Linked DNA regions of Macaca fascicularis. The protein of the gene in region 5 interacts with the protein of the main gene of each other region in a pairwise test. Links are inferred from orthologs where the notes say so. Each region holds a gene or a part of one and is shown on either strand. Other genes may lie near its edges.

Region 1 (2,989 bases), on a different chromosome or scaffold from region 5:
AATAAAAACAGTGATGGCCACTTACTTGGTTTATCTTGACTAGTTGCTTCCTATTCCCAGGCTAATTTCAGGTTAACCTTATTTTGGGAGCGTTTTGAGTTGGTTTGTTTTTCTTTATAGTTGCTTTAACTAAAGTTATTAATTGAACTCTCCGCAAACCGAAAGGTGTCTATTGTAGAGGGAAAGTTTTTTTAGTTTTCTATGCCGTTACTTGGAAAGAGAAGATATTGGGTGAGTTATTACTGACCTCAGCTTCTGCCGCACTGGGGAGTTTCAGATGGACAGTGCCATAATCTCTTGGCTCCAAATGGCCAGCTTAATACTTTGAAATTATTCCTGGGTAGAAAGTATCTCCAAATGGTGATAATCTTACGTCTTACCTTTAGGGCAGAATAAGTCATGTTAAAAATTAAATTTTAGTTCACACTGTGTAAATGCCATCTCTCTGTCCTTTTAAGGGGCCCCTGACAAAATGACCTATTTAGAATGAATAGGTAAGAAACAAAGTGGGGCAATGGAATGAGCACTTGGCAGCTGGAGCCCCGTGTTCTCTACTCCTCAGTGGTTAAGGCGGAGAGATTTGGAAGGCAGCCAGACCTGGCAAGTTACTTGACTCTCATGGCCTCAATTCACTCTTACTTGATGGGAAAAATAATAATATCTATTGTACAAGTTATTGCAAGATTTAAATGAGACAAGTAAATAAAATTCAGAATTTATTGCCTTGCCTTTAAATGCTAGCTCTTATTGAGAGACCTCAGGCCAGTCTCATGTCTAATTTTAGCTTGCTCATTGAGTAAAATGAAATGAGTGGAGTAGATGATACTGTGAACTAGAAGCAGAATTTGTAAATGATTATGTCTGAATATGATAGAATTATTTGACAGCCTTTGACTCTCTGTCGTTGGTATATATGGAGTATGATGTATGAAATATATGGAGTATATAGGATGATGGGTAGTGAGTCTAAAAAACCCTTCTACCTCTGTTTTCTTATCTGTATAATGATCCGTACCTCATAGGGTTAATGTGAGGATTAAATGAGATAAAAATGTGAAGCTCTTTGAAAAGAGCTGGTATATGATAAACACTGTATGTTTTTATCATTTATCTTAATGACACAATGAATGAGTAGTATTCAAGACTAGAATGCAATAACTGGTAAGGTGTTACATACCTGCTAATTGTCCTCAGGGGCATCCCTTGGCCTGATGTAAAGGGAACGAAAGTAGTAGGCCACAGTAGGGTTAGCTGATGTAACTATTAAACATACTTTAAAGCGAGTATTTGCTTTTGGAGTTTGATAGCTTAGAAAGAAGCTTCATAGAAATTAAGTAGTGATTAAGTAGTAATGAGTAGGGATTGTCACTCATTACATGTCATTATGTATATTAGAATCACAATTTCATATATAGGATAGCATATTGAATACAAAGGTTTTTGAAATCTTAACTACAAAGTTTCTTAGAGTAACACAGCGTTAAAAATACTAATTTTGCTGTACTTTGTTTACTAAGTAACTTTTTCTCTTCTGTATTGTTATTGCCAAAGTAATGATACAAAAATAGTACTACATGTTGATTTAAAAGTTGGAAAGTGAAAACATTTTCTAAAAGGAAAAAGAATAGAAGTAAGCAAAAATATTGTTAAAGCCTTTATGCAATGATAAAAACAGTGACTTCCGGGGATATGGCGGTTATTTTCAGAAATATTTTGCTTATCATTTTGAGGGAAGAATATCACAGAACTGTATTTCCCTAAGGATTAAAAAATAGCAGGGGTTAATAACAGCATGAAAAATTCAATTCCTCATCTGGATTCTTTTTATTAACACCAAAAGCCAAGGGCTGGTGGGGGATGCGTGGGGGCAGACGACTGTATGTGTGTATTATGCAGATATAGATAAATGAAGGATATATATATATAAATGAAAGATATATGTCTCTACATGAAATATTTAGGTGACATTTGTTACTATTTTATCCAAATGCCATCTAATCAGACCTTTTTTTTTTTTGAGACAGAGTTTCGCTCTTGTTGCCCAGGCTGAAGTACAGTGGTGCGATCTCGGCTCACTGCAACCTCCACTTCCCAGGTTCAAGCTGTTCTCCTGCCTCAGCCTCCTGAGTAACTGGGATTACAGGCGTGCGCCACCACGCCTGGCTAATTTTTTTGTATTTTTAGTAGAGACAGGGTTTCGCCATGTTGGCCAGGCTGGTCTTGAACTCCTGACCTCAGGTAATCTGCCTGCCTCCGCCTCCCAAAGTGCTGGGATTACAGGTGTGACAGAACTTTTTTTTTTTTCTTTAACTTCAGATATAGCTGGAACCAAATATTCCTAAGAACAAGATGTTATTTTTAGTTGGGAATAGTAAGATATTCTATATTATGAAAAAATTGGTAGCATAAAGGGTTATTGACCTCAACGCTAATTGTAAGATCCTAGAGAGTTATTAAAATTAGTCTTTGTTTTTGTAGGTAACCTTCCTTGAAGAAGTTACTGAGTATTATATAAGTGGTGATGAGGATCGCAAAGGACCATGGGAAGAATTTGCAAGGGATGGATGCAGGTTCCAGAAACGAATTCAAGAAACAGAAGATGCTATTGGATATTGCTTGACATTTGAGCACAGAGAAAGAATGTTTAATAGACTCCAGGGAACATGCTTCAAAGGACTTAATGTTTTCAAGCAATGTTAAGATGAGTTGGCAGCCTGTAGTCATAGCATACACTACCTCTTACCTGAGAGGTGTCTTTTAAAAACAAATCTTGGCAGCTGTCCTTTGACTTTTTTTTTTAAGAGGAAATGTAACTTGGATCTAGTTTAATTTTTTTTTTTTTCCCAACATATCCCACTCAGAAACATTCAGGTTTGAAGCCAGCCCTGATGATGAAGGATGAACTAGTGTAATTTCGAATCTTCCCTTTTTTGATTTAGTTGGATGTGCTTTTAAATGACCTTTGCATGCATGAGGTGAAAAGGGGACC
Region 2 (3,500 bases), on a different chromosome or scaffold from region 5:
ATTATTTTATTAAGAAAATTTTCAGCTTTCTTCTTTAAAGTTCTTTCTCTTTTACCTAATGTTTACAAAGATTGATACTGATTTTAAAAGTCACTTGCCTTGAATCTAAGAAAATGGTATTTATATCTGTCATTTCTTTTTTTCTAAGTAGAAATGACTGGACAACCCCAAAATGCATCTTTTGGCAAGAGGAGCTGCTGGTGGCTACTTCCTCTGATAGCTGCTCTTGCCTCTGGGAGTCTTTGGTTCTTTAGTACTCCTGAGGTAGAAACCACTGCTGTTCAAGAGTTCCAGAACCAGATGAATCAACTTAAGAATAAGTATCAAGGTCAAGATGAGAAGCTGTGGAAAAGGAGCCAAATATTCCTGGAAAAACATCTTAATAGCTCCCATCCTCGGTCTCAGCCTGCTATCTTGCTGCTCACTGCTGCCCGAGATGCTGAAGAAGCGCTTAGGTGTCTGAGTGAACAAATTGCTGATGCCTATTCTTCTTTTCGTAGTGTCCGTGCCATCCGGATTGATGGGACAGATAAAGCTACTCAAGACAGTGATACTGTCAAACTAGAGGTAGACCAAGAACTGAGCAATGGATTTAAGAACGGCCAGAATGCAGCTGTGGTACACCGCTTTGAGTCATTGCCCGCAGGCTCTACTTTGATCTTCTACAAATATTGTGACCATGAAAACGCAGCCTTCAAAGATGTAGCCCTAGTCCTGACTGTCTTATTGGAGGAAGAGACACTTGGAACCAGTCTAGGCCTAAAGGAAGTTGAAGAAAAAGTAAGAGATTTCCTTAAAGTCAAGTTCACCAATTCTAACACACCCAACTCCTACAATCATATGGACCCAGACAAACTGAATGGCCTCTGGAGCCGCATTTCTCACTTAGTTCTGCCTGTGCAACCTGAAAATGCCTTGAAAAGGGGCATCTGCTTATAAGAAGTGAGAGAAGAAAAATCATGTCCCAAGTTCTGAGAATTGTTCACATTTTCTAACCAGAGACAGAATTCAGAGCTCTTTTTGAAAGAACTGGTTTCTTTTTAAAGGAAATTAAGTTCTTACATAAACACAGAACATAAAAATCATTTGTCAACCTAATTATCTAGGATATGAGAGAATCATTTCAGTTTCCATTGAGAGCTGTGTTAAAGGTATCTTAGGAGTGCAGATTATATGCAGTTCCTTAGAGAATCTATTTTGATTCTGGGCTGAATTATTACAGTTATGTATGACCAGTGAAAGGGATTTGTCTCCTTATGAACCTTCCTGATTTTTTAACTTAGATTTCTCACTAAGTTTCTTGAGTTATTAGTAAGATTGCTCCCTAAATGTAACCATGGATTTTCCCATTATGTTCCCTTTTATACCATGTAGGTGTGAGTTCCTTAGCTTCTGCCTATAGGAACATAAGTTATGAAAGGTCACGTAGGTGTGTGTTTGGAATTTTTTTTTCTTTTGTTTGTTGGAAGGTGGAAAGAACAAGGCAAGGAAGAAATTAATGGGGAAGCTGAAGGGAGGAAATGTTATAGTAATCCACTGAGGTGTAGGTCAAACATAGGTATATGAACTGTTAATCTTAGTGGATTCCATTGGGATTTGTTTTTTATATCTCCTTTTTCCTTCCTTGAAGAAAAATTCTTGGCCCTCCCAAGGATTCTTCATGTATATTGCAAGATTTAATACATTTGTTCACTTGACTCTTAAGAGTAGGTCAGGTTGGCCGGGCGCGGTGGCTCACGCCTGTAATCCCAGCACTTTGGGAGGCCGAGGCGGGCGGATCACAAGGTCAGGAGATCGAGACCACGGTGAAACCCCGTCTCTACTAAAAATACAAAAAATTAGCCGGGTGCGGTTGTGGGCGCCTGTAGTCCCAGCTACTCGGGAGGCTGAGGCAGGAGAATGGCGTGAACCCAGGAGGCGGAGCTTGCAGTGAGCCGAGATCGCACCACTGCACTCCAGCCTGGGCGACAGAGAGAGACTCCGTCTCAAAAAAAAAAAAAAAAAGAGTAGGTCAGGCCGAGGCAGGTGGATCACCTGAGGTCAGGAGTTCGAGACCAGTCTGGTCAACATGGTGAAACCCTGTCTCTACTAAAAATACAAGAATTAGCCGGGCATGGTGGCACATGCCTGTAATCCCAGCTACTTGGGAGGCTGAGGCAGGAGAATTCGCTTGAACCCGGGAGGCAAAGGTTGCAGTAAGCCGAGACCAGGCTTATTGCCCTCCAGCCTGGGCAACAAAAACAAAACTCTGTCTCAAAAAGAAAAAAAAAAAAAGACTAGGTCAATTCGTAACAGTTTATTTTGGACACATCCTGAAGCTTTTGTTTTGAATTAAGAAATAGTTTCAGGAATTGACAAACCATTTGTCAACCTGCTGTCCTGGGCTATTGAAGAAGATTTCGTTTTCTGTGCATCCAGTTGTTGCAGTCCAGGTCCTCTAGTACAACACCATAGCAAATATAAAGATTTACTATGCACGTGATACATTTTATGGAGTGCCTCAAGCCAAGATAGTGAACTTACATGAAGAGTGTGAAATGTATTTCTTTACTACTATAGTAGTATAGTTATAACTTTGCATCTATAATTGAGCTTTCTCATCTGTCAACTGCTATGGTTTTCTTAAAATGTTACAATTCTATATCTATCCACCTTGTTTTTTTATTGTCCACAAACCATTAAATGTAAATATTGTTTTTAGAGAGAGTCAGTCATTGGCTTTGTCATTTACCCTTTGAGAGTTCCACAAGTGGTAGTAGAGTGGTCTAACTTCTTTCCTCTAGTACTACCAGTATTCATAAATGTATGCCCCTTACTATAATTTGTTCCTCTTAGAAGTCAGATCATCTGATTTATAGAGGATTATGAAAACCAGAGTTTTTGAAAAGGCTTATTTTATACATACATATTATATAGAGAAATAACTTTTTATTAAATGTTTCACTGACCCAAGTAATTTAAAAGTAATATGTTACCTGTGTCTTTCAGGAAAAATAATTATAGCAGCTGATCTGTAAATGACTTTAAAAGCTATTTTAGTAATTTAAATAAATTTACTTTCTTGGTTTGTACTCTGTGTTATATATTTAATGATTTATCATATTTAAAAAAAGAAATCCAAGTCTTTTCCTTGAACAATTTTAGCAACCTTGGCTAGGAGAAACAAAAACCAAAGAATTGGAGCCATTTGCAAGTACATTGGTTAGAAGTGAGATAGCCATAACTTTCCATTTTATCTCGGCACTTAGGGTTTGTAAAAATATAGTTAATTTAGGTATTCCTGACTTGGCAAAAGAATCTCCACAGCAGCTTTTCTTTCTTTTTTTTTTTTTAAGTAGACATGGGATCTCGCTATATTGCCCAGGCTGTTTTTGAACTCTTGGCCTCAAGCAGTCCTCCTGCCTAAGCCTCCTAAGTAGCTAGGATTACAGGTGTGAGTCACAACCCCTGGCTTCTTAACCTTTTCTTCATCACCTCCCTAAAGAGCTTTTTTAGATTTT
Region 3 (3,500 bases), on a different chromosome or scaffold from region 5:
AGGTAGTTTTTGGTTTCTGTTTTTTTGAGACGGAATTTCACTCTGTAGCCCAGGCTGGAGTGCAGTGGCATCATTTCGGCTCACTGCAACCTCTGCTTCCCAGCTTCAAGTGATTCTCCTGCCTCAGACTCCCGAGTAGCAGGGATTGCAGGTGTCCACCTCCATGCCTAGCTAATTTTTGTATTTTTAGTAGAGATGGGTTTTCACTATGTTGGCCAGGCCGGTCTTGAACTTCTGACCTTGAGTGATCCACCTGCCTCAGCCTCCCAAAGTGCTGGAATTACAGGCGTGAGCCACCTTGTCTGGCCTGTTTGTTTCTTTCGAGACAGGGTCTTCCTCTATTGCCCAGGCTGGAGTGCAGTGGGTGGTACAATATCGGCTCACTGCAGCCTCCAACTTCTGAGGTCAAACGATCCTCCCACCTCAGCCTCCCAAGTAGCTGGAACCACAGCTGTGCACTGCCACACCTGGCTAATTCTTTTATTTTTATTTATTTATTTTTTTTAGAGATGGAGTCTCGCTCTGTTGTCCAGGCTGGAGTGCAGTGGGGTGATCTCGGCTCACTGCAAGCTCCGCCTCCCAGGTTCACACCATTCTCCTGCCTCAGCCTCCCAAGTAGCTGGGACTACAGGTGCCCACCACCACGCCCGGCTAATTTTTTTTTATTTTTAGTAGAGATGGAGTTTCACCGTGTTAGCCAGGATGGTCTCAGTCTCCTGACTTCATGATCCGCCCGCCTCGGCCTCTCAAAGTGCTGGGATTACAGGCGTGAGCCACCGTGCCTGGCCCACACCGGGATAATTTTTGTATTTTTTTGTAGAGACAGGATTTTGCCATGTTGCCCAGGGTGGTCTTGAACTCCTGGGCTCAAGCGATCCACCCGTCTTGGCTTCCCGAAGTGCTGGGATTACAGGCATGAGCCACAGGAGGTAGTTATTATTAACTTCATTTCATAAATAATAAACTAAAGCCAGATATCGGATGGTTTCCTTGAGATCACACAATTAAGAGACAAGCTGCAATTCCAACTCAGGCCTGTAGACCCACCCTGTGGTTTTGACCAGATTACGGTACTCAGGAAGAGTTCTCGTTTTGAAACTTGAAGACTCAATGTGTACTTCACTGCCCGGGACCTCAGTTTGCCCATCTATTGAAGGAGCAGGTTGGACCAGAGGACCACCAAGCCCCTTCCAAGCGCCTACATGCAATCCTCCCTCCTCTTCTCTCCTGGACCGCAGCGCCAGCTCTGACAGCAGGGGGCGCTCTCGAGCCGGCGGAGCGTCCGCTTACCCACAATCAGGGCCTTGGTGCGCAGCCCGCCCTGGAGCTCTGGCTGCAGCAGCAGCAGCTCTTCCTCATCCTCTTCGTCGTCGGGTTGGGCTGCTGGGGGGTTGGGGGCACTGGGGACCTCAGGCTCCGGGCCCAGCTCCTCCAGTACCGAACTCTCGGAGGGGTATTGGTACGTGGTCTCCAGGGCTGTCTCGCTGAAGGAGATCTTAAGCTGAAGGAGGGAGAAAAAGGGGGCAGGAGGCAAGGTCAGCAGGGGTGAGGCCCGTGGGGGTTGAGGGGGAGAAAGCGGGGGGCGGGGGGGAGTCTGCAAGGGAGCAGGTGGGGCGGGGGAAAGGTGGGGGTGGGGGTTGGACTTAGGCGCCCCCCTCACTCTCTCCCATCCACTTTGGGATCCAGTTTTCCTTTACACACTGGCTTTCCAATCCTAGAGTTTCCCTCTTCGATCATATCATTTCAAAACATCAGACTTTGCCCTGTATGTTGGCAGGGGCTTGGGAGGCAGAAGTGAATAACATAAGACCAAGGTCCCTGCTCTTTCGAGTGTGGGAGGCAGAGGGGTAAAAAGAAATTAAAATACGTGGCGATTAGTCTTGTGATCAGAACCGAGTCTTTGGGCACCTTGGAGGCAATAGAGTAAACTTCCCAGAGGAGCCCAGCAGACTGGCCAGTGGGGAAAGAGTAAACTTCCCAGAGGAGCCCAGCAGACTGGCCAGTGGGGAAAGAACTGGCTGGGGAGCCAGTCTCAACCAAAACCATGGTTTTCATACCCACAGCCCCTTGCTGTCCTATGCGAAACCCAGGAGCCTGGGCACCTGTTCCCTCCCACTCCCCTCATTCCTCTCCTATCCATAGCAAAGGGGGTCTAGGGCCTGGGAAGAGATGGGAGATGAATAGAAAGGCCCAGAGGAACCAAGAGACTCCCACAACACACAGGGGAAAGATTAGCCGCTGACACCTTGAAAGGTTGGGGGAGATGACAAGGGCAGAAAGGAAAGTCCACACAAACCTGGGGTGGGGTTTGAGCCCACAGTGTGCTCAAAGGGACAGGCGCAGAGACAAAATACCAGACAGGGCACAGAAAAATCACACTGTGCCAAAAGCAGGTGAGTCCCAGCTGTTCTCACTGCCTTTCTACCCTTCCCCTTTGCCCTCTTAAGAAGCTCAGGGGGAAGGGGCAGGGTGGGATTAAGTCTAGGAGCCAAAGGGATTAGGCAGACAGCAGGAGGATTCCATGTGGACTACTTGGAAAGGTCCAAATGATCTACTCAGGCCTTCCCTGGCATCTGTTTGGGAGGACTTGGGGCCAGTCGAACATCCCTGAGTCCCCTAATGGACTGAGGTATGAAAAGGGAGAAGCCAGAAGGGTGGCTGGGCAGGTGGTTGCTAAGAGCTGCATCAGATATGACACCAGTCGGGCACGGTGGCTCACGCCTGTAATCCCAGCACTTTGGGAGGCTGAGGCAGGATTATTTCTCGAGCCCAGGAGTTGGAGACAAGCCTGTGCAATAGAGTGACACTGTCTCTAAAAAAGAAAAAAAAAAATCAGATATGACACCTGGGTCCCCATGGGAAAATGGAACTCGGGAACTGTGTATGTTACTCCTTGTTGGCTCCAAACCCCACATTGTCTCCCCATCTCACTTGGAGCAAAAAGTCTACTCGAGGCTGGGCGCGGTGGTTCATGCCTATAATCCCAGCATTTTGGGAGGCCGAGGCGGGCGGATCACAAGGTCAAGAGATTGAGACCATCCTGGTCAACATGGTGAAACCCGTCTCTACTAAAAATACAAAAAAATTAGCTGGGCATGGTGGCGTACGCCTGTAGTCCCAGCTACTCGGGAGGACAAGGCAGGAGAATCACTTGAACCCGGGAGGCGGAGGTTGCAGTGAGCCGAGATCACGCCAGTGCACTACAGCTTGGGCAACAGAGTGAGACTCCACCTCAAAAAAAAAAGTCTACTTGATTGCCCCAAAGGTGCCCAGAGCCTGACCAAAGCCTACAGGGTGCTCCCAATGTGCCACCCTCCCCTTGCCTCTCTGGCCTCTTCCTTCACTCCAGCCACACTGGCGTTGGTCCCTCCACGCACTCCCACCTCAGGACCAGAAAAGTACTAGCTATTCCTTCTGCCTAGAACACTCCCCTGAAATATCCCCATGGCTCTGACCCTCCTGATCACCCCATTTTGAAGTCTCCATATTCACTCCCCCTG
Region 4 (3,500 bases), on a different chromosome or scaffold from region 5:
CACCCCCTTCAGGAGCCCCACAATGAGAAGGGAGGAAGGGCAGTCCTGCCCACACCTCCTGGGACCTAGGAGGCCAGTGGGCATCTTCATGTCTAAGAGGAGCTCTGTGAAAGCTTTGGGGCCTGTGGGGCCAGATCCTTAGCATTTTTAAATTTTATTATGACTTCATTTGTTTAAATATATATATATATTTATAGCTCTATGTGCCCACCGCCCTGGCCCCCTCCCCAGCCCCTAGTTTTTCCCCCTGGCTTTCTGTCTAGTGGCTGTGTAAGGCAGCACCGTCTGTGTGCTCTTGTCTGACACTGTCTGGGTGCTGCTGTTCCTCGTGACCCTTCGAGTCTGTTCAGGGGCCAAGGTAGAGCCTGAGCGGCGGCTGGTCAGTGGAGAGCGCCGTGACTTGTAGGGGGCTGGGGAGGGCTTGTGGAGGCCTGCGTGGGCCTCTGTATGGGCAGGCTCTGGGGGCAAGCCCACCTCCTCCTCCTCCGCCTCCTGCTCGCCATCCCCCTCCTCATCGTCACAGCACAGAGCGTGGTAGAGCACTTTGTCACTGAACCGCACCCTCTCCCGCGTCCCTGGGGTCCGCTGGGGCAGCTGGCTCTTCACTGCGGGGCCAGCACCGAAGGCCTCCTCGCTGGAGGAGTCTGGGGTCTCCACTCGTGGCCCATTGGGGATGGGCGTGCCACCATTCATGAGGCGGTAGTCAGGGCCAGCCCCTGGCCGAGTCGACTCAGGACCGTCCACGGAGTCCGAGGGGGTAGAGACGTCCAGGAAGGAGCAGAACTCCCAGCTGTCTGAGAGGATATCGGCTGTCATGAAGTCCAGGTGGCCCAGGTCAAAGGGGCCGCCCACGCCCGCCTTGTCACTGCTAGAGGTGCTGCTCACAGTGGCTGTGGTCCAGTCGTCCGGCTCCAGTTCAAAGTCGAAGTCCGAAGTTAGCTTATCGATCTGGCTCACCACCTGACCAGGAAAGGGGAGAGGAGATGAGAGGGGCCAGGTGGGTCCCTGCGTCAGCCAGGTGTGTGTGTCTCTGTCCCGTCCCTGTAGAACCCCTGGCTGGTGAGCATACCGGACAGGGGAGAGCCTGCAGGACGGTGACCGGCCTGGAGGTCACAGGCTGGTTTGCCCTGTGGAGGGCCCAAATCAGATCAGGCTGGACAGAGCTTTTTCAGTGTCCTGGGGGAGAGGGAACTGCTTTCCAGCCCTGCACACCATCCATTCACTCACCCCTGTCTCCCAAACACAGCAGCTGCTCTGGGGGCAGCCCTGGTGATCAGGGATGAATCTTCCTTAGTTTGAGAGGGGGCCATTTCAGAGGGGCTGAGGGCCTCCAGCAAGCGCATTCCACAAGGAGCTGAGCAGCCCACACACCCTCAGAGAGGAAATGATGTGGGTGATCACAAGGAAGACCCTGTGTGGGCTTTCTAAAGCATCCTGGACCAGTCCTTGCAGCTGGCCGGTGACTGTCGCCCCTGGGTCTCCACCATCCATCAGGGCAAGAACACCAGGTGTACAGCACCGGCGGGGTCACCCCACCCCCATCTCCGTCTCCAAGAGCCTCCTCATTCCTTCCCCTTCCCTGCCCACTGACAAGTGGAGATCAATCCTGGCTTGTTGAGAGAAGGAATAAAGCAAGCATTATTTGATAAGCAATAAAGAAGCTATCTATTCTGGGCCCAGAGTTGCTTGTTCAATGCACTCAGGGGGCAGCTCAGCTGTGGAGATCACTCCACCCCGGCCTGCCTCGCATAAAGTGAAGCCCTCAGCTTCTATATAGGCGGCTCTGCCTTGGGATACTCCCTTGCCTGGGTGGCCACTGTCAGCACATAAATCAGGGAGGAAGACAGTGGGAGAAAGAGGGAGATTCAGTCAGAGACACAGGGACGGGACAGAGCAAGAGAAGGGAGAGAGAAGATTCCAACCAAAAACAAAACAGAAAAACAATGAAAACAAAGCAGAGATGCCAAGAGTCAGAGTGACAGAGACCAAGAGACCCACAGTGAGTTATCCAGATCAGAATCCAGCCCACAGCGCCTCTCCAGTGCCCTTCACCTGGGGTCAGAGCAGGCAATTAATTAATTAACTCAGTAAGTCCTTAATTCAATAAACATTTGCTGAGGACTGATGCTGTCCAGGGATGTGCTAGGTATTTGGCAAGGCGTTGGGGTAGTGAGTGCCCCAAAGTGAGAGGAAAGCAAGGACAAAAGTGATGGCCAGAGTGGTTTGGGCCAGTGGGAAGACTACTTGGTCAGGAGTCAGGGGCTGGATGAAGGAGACCTGGTCAACCATTTTCCCTCTCTAGGTCTCAGTTGCTCAGTCTGTATGCAGAGAGGGTGGGTGAACTAGTTTACTTCCAAGGTTCCTTCCACATCTGAGATTCTAGGACTCTGTTTATAGGAATGACTCTGAGAAGCTGCTTGAGTGCTGATGCCTCGGGATGGCCCCCTCAACCATTGCCCAGGACAGGAGTGGGATGAGGCCTCCAGAAGAGCTGGAGGAATCTGGACATCTGGATTCCAGACTTAGCTTTGACATTGTTCTGAGTGTCTTTGGGCAGGTCACAGAACCTCTCTGGACCTCAACCTCATTCACTGCCAAGTGGGTATGACAATCCCAGACCACCAAGTGAGCATGACAATCCCAGCCAACCTTATGAGAGCTTCATGAATAACAGTGAGAAGGGCAGCAAAAGGGCTCTGAGAAGCACTGGGGAAGAAAATGACACCATCTCCCATCTCTGAGCACCTATGATGCACCATACTTTCGAGTGCTCACCTCCACCCATGAGATCATTATCTCCTGTGTTTACAGATGAGGAGTCTTGGGCGCTAGTCCCTGGAAAGCTGAGAATCTCCCTCTGTGGCCCCCTGCAAAAGTGCACATGATCGTGAAGTGCTGCTGTGACTGCTGGGCTTGGGCAGGCGGTGGGGATAGGGCCCTACCCTCCAATCAGGCCACCTCTTCTTGTGCTTCTCCCAGGATGATGCCTTCCTGCACCAAAGGAACCTCAGAGAAACTCCTATCTCCCAGAAGCCCTTGCTCAACCCAAGCTCCACTTGAGGGCTGGTGGGAGCGCTGGCCTAGGGTAAGGGTCCTCAGACTTGAGTGTCCCTCAGCTCACTCCCAGAGTTTCTGGTTCTGCAGGTCTGAGGTGGTGCTGGAGAAGGTGCCTACCTAACATACCTCCAGGTGCTGCTGCTGCTGGTCCAGAGACATGCTTTGAAAACCACTAGCTTAGGGCACCGGGAGATTTAAGCTGGGTGAAGACCAGCAACTCAAGGCATTGATGACCTCAGGAGAGGCCCCATCACCTCTAGGGCAGCTATGCCCTCAAATGAGACTCCCCTGATCAAGCCAGAGCTGTGGAGTTTGCTGCCTGAGGGCGGGGCAGAATCCCATTAGGAATTGGAGTTGCATGACTTGGCTGTGACCTCGCAGGGTCAGCTGAGGCCAGGCTGGGCCCAGAAGCTAGGTCTCCTGATGCTTAATGAGGATGAGCA
Region 5 (3,500 bases):
AATAGTAATTGCAAAGAGAATTTCTTTTCATGTATGGTGTGAAATTAATCAGCCATCAAAAAGCCAACATAATGTCTTTTATCTCTGTGCTTCTATACTTACACAGGTTTTGGTAGAGTTGGATACATGGTTTTTAACTCTTATAATATGCATCCCATATTGTAACTCGATACAATGAGCTCTTGTAGATTTTAATGGTCTATGAATAGTGCAGATTTCCTAGAGAACTACCTCTCACTGAGCATCCTTATCTTCTCAGCTCAGTCATTATAAGCCATCAATCGTAACATTGCTCATTATTGTCATCAACTGGGGAAGCCCATAGAAGAGTTTTTTAAATCACTGGATTTTGTTTTACAGTGTTCTGTATAATATAACTGCCTCCATGTACTGTTTAAACCTGCAGCACCCCATGCATTACTGCATATAATTCTAGTGTGTATCCAGTTGTCCTTTTTCTGTGTGTGTGTGTGTTTTTTTTCTTTTAACCAAAAGTAAATAAAATATAATCCGATTTCAGTTTTTGTGTCAGGATTATTGAATTTCTCTGTAGACAAATGGAACTTTTGAAGGGGTAATATCCTTTTAAAAGTTTTGCTTTCTTCGTTTTTCTTTTCCTCATTGAATAGGTTTATCACCAGATCTTCAATCTATGGAGCAGATTCGGCGAATTATGCGACCAACTGATGTACCAGATCAAGGTCTTCTTTGTGATCTTTTGTGGTCTGACCCCGATAAAGATGTCTTAGGCTGGGGTGAAAATGACAGAGGAGTGTCCTTCACATTTGGTGCAGAAGTGGTTGCAAAATTTCTCCATAAGCATGATTTGGATCTTATATGTAGAGCCCATCAGGTATTGATTTTGAATTTTACATGTACACTTAAGAGCATGTGTGTGAGCACAGATTCTCCTTGTTGATTTTGGTGGGTAGGTATTGCTTATTTATACAAAGTGTTTCTGGAACACAAGATATCAGGCTCAATGGGAAACTGAAACGTGGTTTTACTTACCTAATATTTGCACCTATTTATACTGAAAAAATTTTCTCTCGAAGGTGGTTGAAGATGGATATGAATTTTTTGCAAAGAGGCAGTTGGTCACTCTGTTTTCTGCGCCCAATTATTGTGGAGAGTTTGACAATGCAGGTGCCATGATGAGTGTGGATGAAACACTAATGTGTTCTTTTCAGGTAGAGCATGCTTTCAACATTATTTCCTTTTACTATGTTTGCACTTTGCTGGTTGAAAAATATAATTGCCACTTTTTGCCTAGTGTTCATTTATGCTAAGTAGGCTGTTTCTATTTTCCCTTAACCAGTGTGTGTTATAGTTGAATAATGTGTAGATCCCTTGTAAAAGAAAAAATTAATTATGGCACCTTTTCCCAGTGTTTAATTATGATTTTTTTGCATTGCATATTGGCTCCTTATGCTTTTATGGCTGTTTTACTGTAGATCTAAAACCATAATGACAATGTAATGTTCAGCTAAAATTAAATCACCACTTGCATGTGAAAAGTACTGAGTGCCTCGTGCTATGTGTTTACTTAGTTCTGCCCTCTAGTCTAATTTCCACAAAACTTCTGCTAATGTACCACGACATCATTTGGCCTTCAGTTGGCACAAAAGCATTATTTAGAATCTGCCTCAGCCTTTTTCTCATTTGCAAGTTTTTTTTGTTGTTGTTGTTGTTGTTTTTTACCAATTGTCAGAGAACTTGCAGCTTTCAAAATTCCAAAGATTGTGCAAGAATCCCCTGCAGTTTGGAGAAACACTTTTGTAAAGAACTTTCTCCCCTATACAGAAGGAATAGCTAAAGATATTACCAGTACTCAGAGACAAAATAATTTGTCCAGATCATAGATTTTTATCTCTTCATCATAGCCTTAATTACTAAATGTTTACATGTCAACTTAGCTTGTGTTAATATGCTAGGGAGGCTTTTACAGTTGTTGGGGCGTTGTAAACGCCATCTGAACAAAAGATCTGAATGAAATGTAAGGACTCTTTAAGATTTGGGGTTGAGTATATTTCCTAAATGAACTGTCTTTTGAATCTCTCCAGATTTTAAAGCCTGCAGAGAAAAAGAAGCCAAATGCCACGAGACCTGTAACGCCTCCAAGGGGTATGATCACAAAGCAAGCAAAGAAATAGATGTCATTTTGACACTGCCTAGTTGGGACTTGTAACATAGAGTATATAACCTTCATTTTTAAGACTGTAATGTGTACTGGTCAGCTTGCTCAGATAGATCTGTGTTTGTGGGGGCCCTTCCTTCCGTTTTTGATTTAGTGAATGGCATTTGCTGGTTATAACAGCAAATGAGAGACTCTTCACTCCAAAAAGAAAAGTGTTTTGTTTTTTAATTCTCTCTTCCTTTTGCAAACAATTTTAATGATGGTGTTAAAGCTGTACACCCCAGGACAGTTTATCCTGTCTAAGGAGTAAGTGTACAGTTGATCTTTTTAAATTCAGTACAACCCATAATCATGTAAATGCTCGTTTTCTTTAGGACATAAAGAGCCCTAGGGTGCTCCAAGTCTGTACATGTTCTTGTCATAAAATGCATACTGTTGATACAAACCACTGTGAACATTTTTTATTTGATAATTTTGTTTCAAAGGGATTGCTTTTTCCTCTCATTGTCTTGTTATGTACAAACTAGTTTTTATAGCTATCAACATTAGGAGTAACTTTCAACCTTGCCAGCATCACTGGTATGATGTATATTTAATTAAAGCACACTTTTCCCCTACCGTATACTTAAAATGACGATTAAAGCCATTCTTTTAAATATTTGTGACTCTTTCCTAAAGCCAAAGTTTCTGTTGAATTACGTTTTGGCACACCCCTAAGTACAAGGTGGTATGGTTGTGTACACATGCTGCCTTCTCGGGGATTCAAAAACAGGTTTTTGATTTTGAATAGCAATTAGTGATATAGTGCTGTTTAAGCTACTAATGATTAAAGGTAATAACATTTTGTACAATTTCCATATAGTCTATTCATTAAGTAATCTTTTTACAGTTGCATCAGGCCTGAACCCGTCCATTCAGAAAGCTTCAAATTATAGAAACAATACTGTTCTATACGAGTGACCGATTATGCTTTCTTTGGCCTACATTCTTTATTCTGCGGTGAAGTTGAGGCTTATAAGTTAAAACAAAGGAACTAACTTACTGTCCACCAGTTTATACAGAACTCACAGTATCTATGACTTTTTTTAAACTAAGATCTGTTAAAAAAGAAATCTGTTTCAGCAGATGACCGTGTACAATACCATGTGGTGAAAATGAATTCAGACTTATTAAATGATGAACTTGTTAAATCCTCTCAGTGTCTATTTATCAGCACAATACACACAGGAGAACTGTTGATGGCATATTGAATAGATTTTCCTGAATAAATTGCTCTGGAAACCACATGGTTGCATTTTGGTTTTGTCTTCTTTCATATAGTCTGTTTTCCAAAGATGGATTATAATACAGATACTAATACTCT
Region 6 (3,500 bases), on a different chromosome or scaffold from region 5:
AACCTGGGCAAGGTAGCATGATCCTGTCTCTAAAATAAAAATAATAATAATATAATCACACCTAAGGAAAGTGGAATAAAGGTCATGGAAGGGAGGAGTAAAAGGACTCATAATCTTAAAGCTATGACTGACTCATAGATATGCAACTAAGCATCAGTTCTTACATCATAAGATGCCTATAATCCCAACACTTTGGGAGGCCTAGGCAGGAGGATTGCTTGAGGCCAGGAATTTAAGATCAGCTTGGGCAACAGTGAGAGATCCTTTATCTACAGAAATAAAAATAAAAGAAAAATTCATCAGGCATGGTGGCACACGCCTGTTGTCCCAGCTACCAGAGGCTGCAGTGGGAGACTCTCTTGTGCCTGGGAGGTCAAGGCTGCAGAGAGCCACGGTCATGCCACTGTACTTCAGCTTGGGTGACAGAATGAAACGCTGTCTTGAAAATAAAACCACAGCCGGGCGCGGTGGCTCACGCCTGTAATCCCAGCACTTTGGGAGGCCGAGGCGGGCGGATCACAAGGTCAGGAGATCGAGACCACGGTGAAACCCCGTCTCTACTAAAAATACAAAAAATTAGCCGGGCGCGGTTGTGGGCGCCTGTAGTCCCAGCTACTCGGGAGGCTGAGGCAGGAGAATGGAGTGAACCCGGGAGGCGGAGCTTGCAGTGAGCCGAGATCGCGCCACTGCACTCCAGCCTGGGCGACAGAGCGAGACGCCGTCTCAAAAAAAAAAAAAAAAAAAAAAAAAAAAAAAAAAAAAAACCACAAAATCGGATTGAGAGGCCTGGTGAATTTGCCCTTGAATGATAGTTATAGAATGATTTATATATACATAGTACTATAAATATCCTCTGCTTATTAGATCTTTTAAGAAATGCTTTCGCGGGGCGTGGTGGCTCACGCCTTTAATCCCAGCACTTTAGGAGCAGAGGTGGGCGGATCACTAGGTCAGGAGTTTGAGACCAGCCTGGCCAACATGGTGAAACCCTGTCTCTATTAAAAATACAAAAAAAATAAGCGGGGCGTGGTGGTGCACGCCTGCAATCCCAGCTACTCAAGAGGTTGAGGCAGGATAATCATCCGAGGCAGGATAATTGCTTGAATCCGGGAGGCGGAGGTTGCAGTGAGCCGAGATCACGCCACTGCACTCCGTACTGGGTGAGAGCGTGGCTCGCCTCAAAAAAAAAAAAAGCTTTCATATCCCTGGTTACAAATTATTTTAAATCTCCTAAGAAAAGGAGACTCCTAAGTCTCCCTCGGCTCACAGGGACATGAAAAGCCAAATTATCAGTTACATTAACCAGAAAGCCAGATTATGAATTATATTAAAAAGTTTTCAAATTACCTTATAGAATAAATATGGATTAATTTGTAGAAACTGAAAAGTTTTGGCCGGGCGCGGTGGCTCAAGCCTGTAACCCCAGCACTTTGGGAGGCCGAGATGGGCGGATCACGAGGTCAGGAGATCGAGACCATCCTGGCTAACACGGTGAAACCCCGTCTCTACTAAGAAATACAAAAAAAATAGCCGGGCGAGGTGGCGGGCGCCTGTAGTCCCAGCTACTCGGGAGGCTGAGGCCGGAGAATGGCGTGAACCCGGGAGGCGGAGCTTGCAGTGAGCTGAGATCCGGCCACTGCACTCCAGCCTGGGCTACAGAGCGAGACTCCGTCTCAAAAAAAAAAAAAAAAAAAAAAAAAAAGAAACTGAAAAGTTTTATATTTTACTTCAAATTTTAAAAATACAAATAAAAAATATGATATAGACAGATATATTTCTAATTAACCAAAGAAGAGAACAGAAGATGAAGAGACATTCCACTTAGTTCACTAGAGTCTGATGTAAAATCTGTTGGCTTGCGTAAAGTGATACTACACTAAGGAATCCAGTCTAGGGCATACCAAAACTTTCTAGGCTCACGTGTTTCTGATCAAAAATAACCAGAGGCTGCCTTTTCCCAAGGGGGCCCTGTGATTCAGGCCAAAAATTCCATAGCTCTAAACTTCAACTGCCAAACTGCATACACAAATGAGAAATACTCTGAATTACTTTTTAACCAAAGTGATACAGATAATTAGAACAGATGCCTTATTCAACACTACATATTAAATTGTATATTAATATATGTTCATGTACTTTATTTACCTGCTGAATGAGATGGAAAGATCTATGAAGAGGTCATACTAGCATCTAAACTCACAGGTTAGAGGTCAAAGCCACAGGAACGACAGAAGGCAATTTTAAAAGTTGATATTGGTAGAAAATGGTCTAACTTATAAAGGAGGAGACTGCATATATTTAAAGTACCTAATGTGAAAACATATACAAAGGATGTCAATTTCAGCACTTTTTTTTTTATTTTTTTTTTTTTGAGACGAAGTCTCACTCTGTAGCCAGGCTGGAGTGCAGTGGCACGATCTCGGCTCACCGCAACCTCTGCCTCCCAGGTTCAAGCGATTCTTCTGCCTCAGCCTCCAGAGTAGCTGGGATTACAGGCGCCCGCCACTGCATCCAGCTAATTTTTTTTTTTTTTTTTTTTTTTTTTTTGAGACAGAGTCTTGCTCTGTCGCCCAGGCTGGAGTGCAGTGGCGCAATCTCGGCTCACTGCAAGCTCCGCCTCCCGGGTTCACGCCATTCTCCTGCCTCAGCCTCCTGAGTAGCTGGGACTACAGGCGCCCGCCACCGCGCCCGGCTAATTTTTTGTATTTTTAGTAGAAACGGGGTTTCACCGTGGTCTCGATCTCCTGACCTCGTGATCCGCCCATCTCGGCCTCCCAAAGTGCTGGGGTTACAGGCGTGAGCCACCGTGCCCGGCCCAGCTAATTTTTTGTATTTTTAGTAGAGATGGGGTTTCACCATGTCAGCCAGGCTGGTCTTGAATCCCCAACCTCAGGTAATCCACCCACCTCAGCCTCCCAATGTGCTAATTACAAGTGTGAGCCACCGCACCCGGCCTTAGCACTGTTTATGATAGTAAAAGATTGGGAAGGGCCATAAGGAAGTGATTTAAAAAATTGTGTTACACCCATACAGTGAAACAGTGTGGAGACGTATCACATGCACGGAATATCACTCAGTTGGATCTACTTGTGCTATGGTGGAACTAGCTCCAGAATAGCTTAAGAAAGAAGCAAGATGCAGGACAGTAAAGACGGTATGGGAGGGGAAGGAGGTTCATTTTTAATTAATTAAAGAAGAGAATAAATACTATTTTAAAAAATACCTGGTGGTATCTTCTTAGCAGTCCCTTTTTTGCTTCTTGGACTTCTTTTTCCAGGTATTTTTTTGTCCTTTCCCAAGAAGGCCTGTTCATCTCTGGAGCCTTCACAAAGGGTGTTTTCTGAGTCCTCACCTGCGGCCACCTCGCAGCTCAATATGCAGCTTTCATTATTATTGAGACTGTCCTGCTCAGACACTTGGGGCTTTCCCATTGCACTGTCGCTGCTGGTCAGATGCTCAGGCCCGTCCCCATCAAGCTGATTTTCATTTTCATCTGATGC
Region 7 (4,084 bases), on a different chromosome or scaffold from region 5:
CCTTCCCTGGCCGCCATGCCCACCCCAGAGCGAGGTTTCATCTGTGCAGAGTGGAGTTCAGAGAGGCTGGGTGAGGAGCCCGAGGCCACACAGCACAGAGGCTGGAGGGCTGCAGCTGCCAAGAAATCCCCCAGGGTCACTCACCCACGCTCCCGAGTGCCAGGGAGATGGGGGAAGAGCTGGGCTCCAGAGGAGGCGGCTCTTCCTGGTGCTCGAGCAGGCTTCTGGGCTGGGTGCCCCCCTGCCCTGCCCACATCTGCCTGGCGCGGAAGAAGGTCGGGGCCCAAGCAGCCCACAGTCTGTGCCCACAGCCTCCACTCTAGCTCAGGCCCTGCACTCTCGGGCATCTTTGCCCCCTGTACCACCACAACTGCCATCACCTCTATGGAGACTGGCACCAGCTCCTGTGATGAACAAGGAGCTGGCCCGGCAGCGGGGCGGGGCCTGGTGACTGAGGTGAGACCCCCGTGCCCAGGTGCTGGCACTGCCCCAGATGCTGAGTGACACACAAGTCAACTGCCAGAGCCACAAGCGTGGGCCCCTCCCCTCTGGGTGCCCCCCACAGACACAAGCAGCCTCAGAAGGAACCAACTCGCTCCAGTTCAGGGATGGCAAGGAGCCAGCCGTGTGCTGCAGGAAGCTTGGGCCCTGGGGGGTCTCTGTCCCAGCACCACGACCTCCAGCACAGAGCCAAGTGCTCACCAAGCACTAAGCCCACCTGGGCCTGCCACAGGTACTGTCAGCGCATGTTATAGATGGGAAAACCAAGGTTCACAGAGGCAAGGCCAGGCAGAGGGACTGCAGCGCCGGGCAGCCAGGCTTGGAAGACTGGGCTAAGTTTAGCGGGAGGGCACGGGACCCCCCTCTCCTCCCTAACCCCCTCAAGGGTGCTGCTGCAGAGCCTAGACACAGCCCCTTAATCCGAAGGAGGGTACTCTTCCCCACCAGCACCAGAACCTCAGGCAGCCTCTCCTGGCAGGTGGGCCCTGGAGCCCAGCAGGTGCCTGCAGCTCTGGCCCAGCATCTTGCAGAGGAGAAACACCCCTTGTCTCCAACAACTTCTTCTCCTCTAAGTCATTAAATGGACACATTGGAATTACTCAGATCACAGCTGTTTACCCAGGGAAGGGCAGAGCCAGGGCTACTCAAAGGCAGGGGAAAGGGCTTCTCATGGCGAAGGGCAAGGCCGGGCCCCAAGGGAGGGTGTGGGCTGAGGGTCCCCTCTCTTCTGGGGACAGAAAGGACCAAGCACCGTGGGCCACGCCTGGCATGCAGATGCTATGAGGACCTGCCCCAAGCCTCCTCCACCCCCTGCCCTCGGGAGACATCACAGCTGTTGTGGGGGCTGCTGGGCTCTGGGCCTTCACCTGCCCACCACCCAGGGACTTCTGAGCCCCAGGAGTCACTAAAGGAAGTCGTTTCTGAGCAAGTGACACCCACAGCCCTAAGCCCAGCAGACAGACCTCCCACCAGCTCCCTTCCTCCGAGAAGCAAATGCCTTCAGACCAAGATCTGCCCGGGGGACCCCCGTGTATCCCTGCCAGACTGCATGCCCTGGGCCCTGCTCCAGGGAAGGAGACACAGGAGATCGCGTCACATGCAAACACGCTTTGTTTGGGCTGGCTCAGCCTGGTGCCAGAGCCCCAGTGACGTGTGGGTGGGACTTGGCCCTGGGGCCATGGATGGCACAGGGCGGGGGGGGGGTTATCTCCCACTCAGGCCAAGCAGGGGCCGGATCTGAAGAAGCAGAGGTTAGAAAGCCCACTGCTTCCTGGTGACGGATGGGGCTTCCAGCTGCCCCCAGCCCCCTCTGCCTATCCCAGCTGTCCACCGCAGCCAGGAAGCCAGGCAGCCATGGGTAATCGTGCCCTGCCTGGTGCACTGGCCACACAGGGTAAGAGGCCTGGCCTCAGGTCCCCTGCAGCCAGCTTGACAGCGTCACCTCGGGCCCCCACTGTCAGGGGGTCTGGGCATCCACCAAGCCCCTCTCTTCTGAGCCTCTGCCCACTGGGCTCTGTCATGTGGACTGGCCCCTGCTCCCCCCACATCCCCCGCCCGCTGCTGGTGGCTGGGCAGGGCTCCGAGAACCGCTCCCAGCCTGGGAAGAAGCCTCCCACGCCAGGGCCCCGGACCCAGGAGAGGCCATGGCAAGCCTGAACCCCATCTGGCTGACACCCTCCACATCCCCAAGGGCCCTTAGTCTGAGACCAACTCTCCTGGACACCTGGGGCCCACGCAGGCCCTCTGTGCCCCAGTTACCTGTGCCCGGGAGGCAGCCACGGAGTCACGACCAGGCGGGGGACGCCAGCCCACAGGAGGAGGCCGGTTTGTGCTGGGGCCCAAGGCCTGCCCCTCCGAGATCTGGGGCCGCCAGGGGGTCCGGCTGCTTCTGCGACTGGGCTCGGGGCGGGGAAAGGGTTAATTTCCATGCAAACCGGGAGCCGGTGGGGCCCAACGGCATCACGTCCGCAGCGGAGGGAGGCAGCGGCGCGCAGGCCGGGCCGCCAGGGACTCACCGGGGTCGAAGTGCGAGCTGAAGGCGAAGCTGGGGTTGAAGAAGGACGACGACATGGCCGGGCCAGCGGCCGGCGGGCATCCCGGGCGGGCGCTGCGCTCAGGACGCCCGCGGCCCCGGCCCGCGCCGCCGCATCACCCAGCGGCCGCCGCAGGTGCGGAGCGCGCCGGCCCCCGCGCCCCGCGCCCCCCGCCGCAGCCGCAGCGCCCGCACCGGTGGGGGCGGCGGCGACAGACGAGGCGCTCCGCCCGGCCCTGGCGCCGCGGGGCTCCGCTGGTGCAGTCCGAAAACGCGGGCGGGAGCGCGCGCGGAGCGGAGCGGGGGAGGGGGGGCTCCTCCGCGGCCGGGGTGGCATGGGGGGGCAGGGAGAGGGGGACACGGAGCGGGAGACGGAGGGGAGCATGGAGTGGGGGACACGGAGGGGGGACACAGAAGTGGGCATGGAGGGGGGACACGGAGGGGGGACATGGAGGGAGGACACAGAAGGGGGCTTGGAGGGGGGACACGGAGGGGAGGCATGGAGGAGGGGGGACGGGGGGCGTGCACGGAGGGGGGATGTCACGGAGCGGGGGGATGGGCCGGAGCAGGGAGCACGGAGGCCTGGGACTGAGAGGGGCACGGAGGCTGGTGGGTGGGAAACGGAAGTCATGAGTGGTAAGTCGTGAGTGGGTACGGAGGGAATGCCGGCGTGGGGGAGGGGGTGCTCCTAGGTGGGAAGGTTCAGGGAGACAGGTGGGGGAACCCGGGAGCACACCCAGGGCGGGGCTTGGTGCTCAGGGGCCCTCCCCTCACTTGGACGTTTGGAGGCAGCTGGTGTCCGTCCCCTTGCCCCATGTGCTTCGGGTGGCACCTGTGCTGGTGGAGTGGGGTCCTGGCTTTGCACACACGCCTGTTCTATTCCAGGCTGCGACAGCCATGAAGGAGGAACCTGGCTGAGTCTCCACCTGCCCTGGACTGTGCCATGTGCTTAGTGCAGCAGATTCGCCTGGGCACACAGGGGCCATCCCTTCCCTTATGTTTCTCCCAGCATCCCCCGTCCCTGCCCCAAAGCCCCACCTTGCAGGGTTGGCGCGGGGCAGGTTCCACCCAGCCCGCCCCTGTGGGAGCCGGGAGAATGAAGGTGCAGTGGAGGCTGGTCCTGGTGGCTCATGCCTGTAATCCCAGCATCTGGGGAGGCCAGGGCAGGCGGATGGCTTGTGCTCAGGAGTTCCAGACCAGCCTGGGCAACACAGCAAGACCCTTTCTCTACAAAAACTAGAAAAATGAGCCAGGCATGGTGGCGCTCACCTGTAGTGCCAGCTACTTGGGAGGCTGAGGTGGAAGGATCACTTGAGCCTGGGAGTTAGAGGCTGCGGTGAGCCAAGATGGCACCACTGCACTCCAGCCCAGGTGACAACGAAAACTTGTCTCAAAAAAAGTGTCCTGGAGACTCGCAGTTGAGTTTGATGCACCCTCATCCACTCATTCACTCACTCACTCATTCATTCACTCATTCACTCACTCACTCATTCACTCACTCATTCACTCATTCACTCATTCACTCACTCATTCATTCACTCACTCATTCAC

What was found.
Region 1: the proteins of PPP1CC (region 5) and PPP1R15B interact in binary tests that used the Homo sapiens proteins (3 or more experiments, as listed by UniProt). The link is inferred for Macaca fascicularis from reciprocal best matches to the Homo sapiens genes PPP1CC and PPP1R15B.
Region 2: the proteins of PPP1CC (region 5) and TOR1AIP1 interact in binary tests that used the Homo sapiens proteins (3 or more experiments, as listed by UniProt). The link is inferred for Macaca fascicularis from reciprocal best matches to the Homo sapiens genes PPP1CC and TOR1AIP1.
Region 3: the proteins of PPP1CC (region 5) and PPP1R18 interact in a two-hybrid assay, tested with the Homo sapiens proteins (2 studies listed by BioGRID and IntAct). The link is inferred for Macaca fascicularis from reciprocal best matches to the Homo sapiens genes PPP1CC and PPP1R18.
Region 4: the proteins of PPP1CC (region 5) and INSYN1 interact in a two-hybrid assay, tested with the Homo sapiens proteins (2 studies listed by BioGRID and IntAct). The link is inferred for Macaca fascicularis from reciprocal best matches to the Homo sapiens genes PPP1CC and INSYN1.
Region 6: the proteins of PPP1CC (region 5) and CNST interact in a two-hybrid assay, tested with the Homo sapiens proteins (2 studies listed by BioGRID and IntAct). The link is inferred for Macaca fascicularis from reciprocal best matches to the Homo sapiens genes PPP1CC and CNST.
Region 7: the proteins of PPP1CC (region 5) and AATK interact in binary tests that used the Homo sapiens proteins (3 or more experiments, as listed by UniProt). The link is inferred for Macaca fascicularis from reciprocal best matches to the Homo sapiens genes PPP1CC and AATK.

Annotation. Positions count from the first base shown.
Region 1 is NC_088375.1:62,230,608-62,233,596, reverse strand, and holds part of PPP1R15B (protein phosphatase 1 regulatory subunit 15B), read left to right. Parts: intron 1-2,478; coding exon 2,479-2,700; 3' UTR 2,701-2,989. UniProt on the Homo sapiens protein: Maintains low levels of EIF2S1 phosphorylation in unstressed cells by promoting its dephosphorylation by PP1.
Region 2 is NC_088375.1:37,408,432-37,411,931, forward strand, and holds the end of TOR1AIP1 (torsin-1A-interacting protein 1), read left to right. Parts: intron 1-148; coding exon 149-939; 3' UTR 940-3,071; downstream 3,072-3,500. UniProt on the Homo sapiens protein: Required for nuclear membrane integrity. Induces TOR1A and TOR1B ATPase activity and is required for their location on the nuclear membrane. Binds to A- and B-type lamins. Possible role in membrane attachment and assembly of the nuclear lamina.
Region 3 is NC_088378.1:141,975,109-141,978,608, reverse strand, and holds part of PPP1R18 (phostensin), read right to left. Parts: intron 1,502-3,500; coding exon 1,291-1,501; intron 1-1,290.
Region 4 is NC_088381.1:50,662,695-50,666,194, forward strand, and holds part of INSYN1 (inhibitory synaptic factor 1), read right to left. Parts: intron 2,868-3,500; exon of another isoform or gene 2,794-2,867; coding exon of another isoform or gene 2,776-2,793; intron 961-2,775; coding exon 235-960; 3' UTR 1-234. UniProt on the Homo sapiens protein: Component of the protein machinery at the inhibitory synapses, probably acting as a scaffold. Inhibitory synapses dampen neuronal activity through postsynaptic hyperpolarization.
Region 5 is NC_088385.1:117,603,167-117,606,666, reverse strand, and holds the end of PPP1CC (serine/threonine-protein phosphatase PP1-gamma catalytic subunit), read left to right. Parts: intron 1-629; coding exon 630-853; intron 854-1,055; coding exon 1,056-1,190; intron 1,191-2,063; coding exon 2,064-2,124; intron 2,125-3,026; coding exon 3,027-3,097; 3' UTR 3,098-3,421; downstream 3,422-3,500. UniProt on the Homo sapiens protein: Protein phosphatase that associates with over 200 regulatory proteins to form highly specific holoenzymes which dephosphorylate hundreds of biological targets.
Region 6 is NC_088375.1:2,528,400-2,531,899, forward strand, and holds part of CNST (consortin), read right to left. Parts: coding exon 3,224-3,500; intron 1-3,223. UniProt on the Homo sapiens protein: Required for targeting of connexins to the plasma membrane.
Region 7 is NC_088390.1:87,576,426-87,580,509, forward strand, and holds the start of AATK (serine/threonine-protein kinase LMTK1), read right to left. Parts: upstream 2,801-4,084; 5' UTR 2,572-2,800; coding exon 2,517-2,571; exon of another isoform or gene 2,260-2,516; intron 1-2,259. UniProt on the Homo sapiens protein: May be involved in neuronal differentiation.